Neurospora crassa OR74A: one gene and its partner. The main gene of each other region encodes a partner of the protein of the gene in region 2 in a complex. Links are inferred from orthologs where the notes say so. Each region holds a gene or a part of one and is shown on either strand. Other genes may lie near its edges.

Region 1 (3,576 bases), on a different chromosome or scaffold from region 2:
TGGGCGGCTGGGCGGTTGACAAGTTTTGCGACTGGAAGACCAGGCGCAACAATGGCGTTTACGAACCAGAGAATCGACTGTGGCTCTGCATCGTACCTCTGATCATCAGCGGCTCGGGCTGCTTGGTGTTCGGATATGGCATTGAAAAGGCAATGGGCTGGGTCAGCCTGTTCTTTGGATATGGTATGATGTCGGTAGCATTGACGGCGGTGCCGACCATCACCATGGCCTATGTCTCGGACTGTCTGCTTCCACTAAACTCGGATGCTCTTATGCTTGTCAATGGTAAGAAGCAGCATGAGTCCCTCCTGGTTGAGTAACCTTGCTAATCACGGCACGATGTCAATAGGAACAAAGCATATTGTAAGCTTCTTCTTCGCGGCGTCGGTCTTGATCTGGGTCCAGATGGTGGGTTATGTTGAGGCTTTCGGAACAACGGCAGGCGTATTTGCGCTCATAGTGGGCGGAGGTATGGCAGTGTTGATTCCCTTTGGTGCGAGAATCAGGCACCGTCAAGCAACCTGGCGTATCATCCTGTGATGAGCGAAAGTTGTAAGAAGATGAAGAGGTAGTCAAGCCCAGATTGTCGGTGGTTGGATCATGGGATACACTGCGGCAAGGAGTTCCTTCAGTCAATGCATTTATCGTCCATTGTGGGCATCGATATCCTTCGGGTTGCACGTTGAGTTTCGCAGAAGGAATTTGATGAGCAGATAGATTTAGGGTGGGGGGAAAAGGGAAATCAAGCAGGAGACAATGGGTGAGCTAGATGACGTGTACACGATGTAGTGTGGTGACTCGATCCGCGAGAGTTGCTTTGTCAAAGAAAATTGGCGGTTGGAAGGTTGAAGGATGAGAAAAATGATAAGGTTGCAGAAGACCTGCGAAACTGGGATGGCCTGCGTGGTCCCGCAAGGCTGATCAGAAAGTGGAACGTGCTCCACTGAAGAGGACGCTTACATCGAGCATTCCGTGGATTATGCAACACTTCGGATTCCGTCACGCGTAAGAAGTCAGGGAATATTTACTTTGACAATTTGATATAGAAATACAAGACTTGGCTCATCAATGCTCGCAGTTTTACTTCATGTTGATCATGACTCTTTACTTATCGGGAAGAGGACATCTGACGAATCAACTTCCTGGAACTCTGAGCAGAAGTCACCGTCTTGGCATAACATGAGTGACCAATCACAAAACGCTTTATTCTGCTCTTTCATGCAAGGCTGAGAAAGGCGGGGCATTTCTTCTGGGAAATTTCGTGATCGACCAGTGCAACTCGGTTTGGCAAACCGACCTGCAGTTGGCCATACGCCACACCTTCTCTAAATCCAATCAACAGACCCATTTCAGACTGGGCATTGACGCTCACAACCAGCCAGGGCATTGTCTTTGTCCCGTCACGAGTCCCTTTTTTTCTTCCAAATTGTTGCGTCTCGGTCACCAGAACCACCACACGAAATTCCTAATCACCACCAGCACACGATGGCCGACCGCGACAAGATCCAGATCCTCAAGGATGCGCTTTACGAGGCGGCGAGGGACCACGGTTCCGATCAGCGTCTCTTCACGCAGCGGGACCTGTTGGACATGCAGGTCATCCCCCAAGACAATATCGGGTTGCTCATGCAGGTGATCCAAATTCTCTGCGATGAGAAGCTCTTTGTCGGCAACACCACGGCATCGGGGCTGTCGTGGAGATGGCGAAGCCGGGAGGATGCAAAGAAGTGCGTTACTACCTTTCTTTTTTCTTTTTAGGACACAACCGAGCACACCAACTAACCTCCCCTTCCTCCCAAAAGGTACACCTCCCTCCCCAACTCCGAAATAATGATGGTATACGCCATGGTCGACGAAGCCGGGGCCGACGGCATCTGGAACCGGACCATCAAGAACAAGCTCAACATGGCCGACTCGCTTATGAAGCATTGCATCAAGTATCTCGAGCAAAAGGGCTACATCGCCAGCATGAAGAACGTCGAGCACCCCAACAAGAAGATGTACATCAAGGCGAACCTACGTCCCTCCGATCGCGCCACAGGTGGCCCCTGGTTTACTGAGGGCGAGCTCGACACGGCCTTCATCAACGAGCTACAGGAAATTGTGTTTGACTTTATCAAGCAGAAATCGACATATACTTCCCACGGCGGCGGTGCTGGAGTACCAGGAGTAGGAGCACAAGGAGGAGGAGCACAGCAGCGTGAAAAGAATCCCAAGAAGGGCGTGGTTCAGGGGACCATTCCCCACTCGGAGGATATTTCCAAGGGGACGAAGCGCAGCGCGGGCGAGATTTCCAACGACGACACGGCGGCACCGGCACCGGCCAAGAAGACCAGGCCCGGCAAGCCGCAATTGCTGCCTCTCCCGGCCGGTTACAAGTCGTACCCGACTGTGTCGGACATTGCAAAGTTCATCCACCACGCCGGCATCACGAATAATACGACGTTGAGCGAGGCGGATATCCAGCAGTTGGTGGATGTGCTATACTACGATGGCTTAGTAGAGCCTGTCAAGGTCAATGGGCGCAAGGGGTACCGTGTGACGCGCATCCCCAAACAGGATCCGAGGACGTGCAATCAACGACGCCTCGACCATGATCCAACCAAAGGAGGCATTGTTACCTCATTTATGGGAGTTGAGCCGAGTGCAAGTGGCCTTATGGAGGCGCCTTGTGGGCGGTGCCCTGTCTATGATATGTGCGAGGAAGGCGGACCTGTCAGCCCCAGCAACTGCGTCTATTTCAGACGGTGGCTGGATGGTGACGAGGTACAGGAACAAGTCATTTCGATCTGATCGACTCGAATGTGTTTGTGTCTCCGTTTAGAAGACGTTGCATGGTCTCTATCACAACTGCATTAACGGCGTAAAAAAAAAGAAGGCAAGGGTAATTTGGTTTCATCTAGGCGTTGGAGGTAATCTGTTTAGCATTCAATGTGTTGGCGATAACATTCACATGACCTGCAAACTGTCTAGGAAAAGACATCAGTTTACGTGATCTCATCAACCATCAGTTTGCGTAATCACATCAACCATCAAAGCGACAGTGATGACGATGCAGTGAAGAAGGGTGGGTGTGCAGCGCAGGAAATCCATTTTGATGGGCTATCTAGATATTATAGCAGCACATTCATATGAATATTATGGTACCGCGACTCCAATCCCTAAAACCCTCGACAATGTCCACAAGGGAATTTAGAGAGCGCCGCAGTCGACAATGGTGGGCTTCTTGGAGTAACGAATAGCACCGCTGCTGGAGCCAGTAGCCTCAAGGGCCTTGACGACCTTCATGGACTCATCGTCAGCGACCTCGCCGAAGACGACGTGGCGGCCATCGAGCCAGCTGGTGGGGACAGTGGTGACGAAGAACTGGGAGCCGTTGGTGTTGGGGCCGGCGTTGGCCATGGAGAGAAGACCAGGGCGGACGTGCTTCTTGGCGAAGTTCTCATCGGCGAACTTCTCGCCGTAGATGGACTTGCCACCAGTGCCCTGTTCAGAGAGGTTAGGTCTTTATTTTCCCATGTTCGATAGCTTGTTGGGCGGACATGGACTTACGTTACCACGGGTGAAGTCACCACC
Region 2 (4,380 bases):
CTTCAGTTCCCAGATATATCGCCTTACGAGGAACCCCCAGGATTTTCATTGAACGGAACACCAGAGACGGCAAAGTGGAAGTCCTGAGGAATTAGCGGTGTATAGGCGTCGCCGGGCGCTATACGGCCTGCAGTGAGGCAATCCACGAGGTGGCTGCCCCAGATTCTCTTACCCGCGCCCTTGCGTCCAGTCTGCAGCTGCCCCTGCGCGATGTTAGGCCTTGTCTGGAACCGGATAGGTAATGATTGGCTGGCGACAGAACGGGAGAGGGATTGCGTGTTGCAGCACTCTAGCTGACACGCGAGACAAGCTCGAGACAAGGCATGGGAAAGGTAGCCATAGTGACAAAAGGCACAAGACAGTGAGTGACAGGCAGACAGCCGTCAATGTTCAAGGCTGGACACTCTAACCCTCACTTCTGCCCTGTGGAAGATTCAGTACAAGAGAGAAGATCGATTTACATTCTGAGCACTCAAATGTACGATAGCCAGGTGATAGCTATGGTAGACGCTGAGATATGGAATGTCTTGAATGCTCATTGAGACCATGGTAGAGAAAGCGAACGCACAAGTGCAGCGCCCCCGTGTTTAACCTTGATGTGAAATCTCCTCGCCTTTTTTTTTCAATTGCTCCTCTTTCGGATCTTGCCCCACTGCTGGGTTGGGTTCCAGGTCGATTCAAGCAAGGTAGCACCCTGCTGGAGCTGGCCTAGGAAAAGATGGGTACCTACCTACACTATGCTGTAAGACACGGCCAACGGTGATGCGACTCTTTGACGTTTGTATAGTCAGCCAGAAGCATAACCCTTCTCTGATTCTTGAAGCCTGAGCAGGTCACAGCACTTGGGAATAACATCAACCTCCGTTGTATGCGATTAGCAATTCAAAGGCTGCCATATCAACGAACAAAGACCGAAGAAGACCATCAACATGATAACAGGTAGGAGAGAAATAGTGAACGACCCGGCAGGTGATTTCATAACCAGAAGCTCTCCCCTGTTGACTGGTGTGTCGATCGAAGGCCCGGCTTCCGCTTGGCGCGGCTAGATTCAGCAGAACGGATACATAGCTATCTTGAGGTTACCTAGCTGGCCTGACCCCGCTACAAATTGTTCAAATCGCTGTGCTAGTTGAAGTTGGATAGGTAAATACAACCTACCACCAGGAGGCAGATGTGTCGGAGTTGCACAGAGGCGGGGGTTCCTTATCACGAACATCAAAGTGACGGTCCGGAGTCAAAGCAAAAGGAAAGGTTTCAAAGGTACCCGACAGGTGGAGGGCACGGCCAAAAGTGGAACAAGGAACCTACATAGGTATATGTAACTGTCAATCAGGGGTCCAAAACGTGGGCGCTAACAATTTTGGCCTCGGCATACCAGTTAGGTACCACTGCAGTCACTAGCAGTCACCGGTCACCGCACCACAACACTACCTCTAGTGTAGTGCACTACACACACTAACAGTCAAGCACAGACCACTCCCGCCCCGTCGTCCCCCACCGCCCCAGCCGCGGCTTACCTCTACTGACCTAACAAGAAATGGCAGCGGCCAGCCCGTAGAAAAAGTTTATCGCAACTAATCCTTATCAATTTGCCGCGGGGCCAAAAATCACATCGAAATCTACCTACACAACTGCAAGGCGTATCTTCTCAACCAAACACACATTCCCGGTCGTTCCGCGCCCATCATCGCCATCCTCCATTCCTCCGGCCCGATCGATACGACGAACCGTCACCCGCAGTTAGCACATGCAAGGATGGCGGCTCTCGACGATGGCTTTGAGGCCCTGCTGGAGCCGTTCTACAATGGCAAGAAGCTGACCGATCCCATCTCGACCACGCAGGACAAGTTCCATCTTGTCCCGGCCTTCCTCAAGGTCAAGGGCCTCGTCAAGCAACACATCGACTCGTACAACTACTTCGTCAACGAGGAAATCAAGGACATCGTTAGGGCCAACCGCGTCGTCCGCAGCGACCAGGACCCCAACTTTTGGCTCGAGTTCAGAGACATCCGCGTCGGCATGCCCACCCGCACCGAAGATGGCGAACAAGTCCAGTCTCGAAACCCCGTCACCCCCATGGAGTGCCGTCTCCGCGACCTCACCTATGCCGCCCCCGTCGAGGTCGACATCGCCTACACCCGCGACAAGAACGTTATCGTCCGCAAGAACATCCCGCTATGCCGCATTCCCGTCATGCTCAAGAGCGCAAAGTGCTACCTCAACGGCGCCACCAATGCCCAGATGGAGGTCTTCAACGAGTGCCCTCTCGATCCTGGTGGCTACTTCGTTATTGGCGGAACCGAAAAGGTCATCTTGATTCAGGAACAGCTTAGCAAGAACCGTATCATTGTCGAGGCCGACGAGAAGACCGGCGGAGTCATGGCCTCGGTTACCAGTTCCACACACGAGAGAAAGTCAAAGACTTACGTCGTACTCAAGAAGGACCGGATTGTCCTGCAGCACAACACCCTCTCCGAGCCCATTCCCATCGTCATCGTTCTCAAGGCCTTCGGTGGTCTTTCCGACAACGACATCATCGAGCTGGTTTGCGGTGGCGATGCGCGCTACCAGGACGATTTCCTCATCAACTTCGATGAAGCCGGAAGAGCTGGTGTCTACACACAACAACAAGCGTTGGAATACGTTGGTGCTAGAGTCAAGATGGGCGGTAACAGACCCAAATTCGGTGCCGCTCCTCGAAGAAACCATGCTGAAGAAGGTCTCGACGCACTTGCGAACTTAGTTATCGCGCACGTTACTGTTGAGGGTCTCGACTTCTATCCCAAGGCCGTCTACATTGCCATGATGGTTCGCCGCGTGCTGATGGCAGCTCAGAATCCCAAGCTCGTCGATGACAGAGATTTCGTCGGCAACAAGAGATTGGAATTGGCTGGACAGTTGATCTCCCTTCTATTTGAAGACTTGTTCAAAAAGTTCATTTCAGACGTCAAGTACAACATTGACAACTTTTTCAAGAAACCCAACCGTACCTCTACGTATGATCCCCATGGTGCGATCATGGCTAACGGCCATTATATCTCTCACGGTCTTAACCGCGCCATTCAGAGCGGCAACTGGACGGTCAAGCGTTTCAACATGAACAGAGCCGGTATCACCCACGTGCTCAGCCGACTCAGTTATATCGCTGCGCTGGGTATGATGACGCGTATCAGCTCACAGTTCGAAAAAACAAGAAAGGTTTCCGGTCCAAGAGCCCTACAGCCCTCACAGTGGGGTATGCTCTGCACCTCTGATACACCTGAAGGTGAAGCCTGTGGTCTGGTAAAGAATTTGGCACTCATGACACACATTACCACGAATGTGCCGGAGGAACCAGTTAAGAAGATGATTTTTGCTGCTGATGAGAGCGTGGGACCGATCCGAGAATACACCGGAACAGAGATGCACAGCAAAGGCTCGTATATCATCCATTTGAACGGTACACCATTTGCTGTGACCAGGGAGCCAAAGCGGTTTGCCGCCAGGTTCAGAACTTTGCGTCGCCGGGGCTGGGTCTCTCCTTTTGTGAGCATCCACATCAACGAGCACTTCTCGGCGGTTCATATCGCTACCGATGAAGGACGTATTTGCCGCCCGTACATCATCGTCAAGAACGGCAAATCCATGTTGAAGGCAGAGCACCTGAAGATGCTTCAACTCGGGCAAGCGACATTCGACACTTTCCTGACCAGCGGCGTGGTTGAGTATCTCGATGTCAACGAAGAGAACGATACCCTTGTGGCGCTTCAGGAGGATCAGATCACCAACAGCACTACGCACATGGAAATTGAGCCGTTCACGATTCTCGGAGCAGTCGCTGGTCTAATTCCCTTTCCCCATCACAACCAGTCTCCCCGTAATACTTACCAGTGCGCCATGGGTAAACAAGCCATTGGTGCTATTGCCTACAATCAGTTCAACAGAATCGATACCCTTCTTTATACCCTTGTTTATCCCCAACGACCAATGGTCATTACGAAGACGATTCAACTTATCCACTACGACAAGCTCCCGGCAGGACAGAACGCCACCGTCGTTGTCATGTCTTACTCTGGCTACGATATCGAAGATGCGCTTGTTCTGAACAAGGCTTCTCTAGATCGTGGATTCGGCCGCTGCCAAGTGTTCCGCAAGTATACCGCCGAATTGCAAGGCTATACGAATGGGCGCCGCGACAGGGTTGGCGGTATCATGAAGGACGAAGACGACAAGCCCATTGTTAAGCACGCCATCCTCGACGCCGATGGCCTGGCCCAGGTGGGCTCAAAGGTTGAATCCGGACAAACGATGATCAAGAAGGAGACCCCGTTGGACCAGATCTCTACTGGAATCGCTGGCGATCGTGGGTCAGACGATTACCGTGACGCATCAACCAACTAC

The links.
Region 1: NCU01772 (region 2) and NCU00727 share a complex: the UniProt entries of both Schizosaccharomyces pombe proteins name them as parts of the RNA polymerase III (Pol III) complex. The link is inferred for Neurospora crassa OR74A from reciprocal best matches to the Schizosaccharomyces pombe genes rpc2 and rpc34.

What each region holds. Positions count from the first base shown.
Region 1 is NC_026501.1:7,401,038-7,404,613, forward strand, and holds NCU00727 (hypothetical protein), read left to right. Parts: upstream 1-1,292; 5' UTR 1,293-1,485; coding exon 1,486-1,727; intron 1,728-1,802; coding exon 1,803-2,793; 3' UTR 2,794-3,002; downstream 3,003-3,576. Other genes in the region: NCU00728 (hypothetical protein), read left to right, coding at 1-320; csr-1 (peptidyl-prolyl cis-trans isomerase), read right to left, coding at 3,193-3,486, 3,553-3,576. UniProt on the Schizosaccharomyces pombe protein: DNA-dependent RNA polymerase catalyzes the transcription of DNA into RNA using the four ribonucleoside triphosphates as substrates. Specific peripheric component of RNA polymerase III which synthesizes small RNAs, such as 5S rRNA and tRNAs.
Region 2 is NC_026502.1:2,489,706-2,494,085, forward strand, and holds the start of NCU01772 (DNA-directed RNA polymerase III polypeptide), read left to right. Parts: upstream 1-1,569; 5' UTR 1,570-1,755; coding exon 1,756-4,380. UniProt on the Schizosaccharomyces pombe protein: DNA-dependent RNA polymerase catalyzes the transcription of DNA into RNA using the four ribonucleoside triphosphates as substrates. Second largest core component of RNA polymerase III which synthesizes small RNAs, such as 5S rRNA and tRNAs.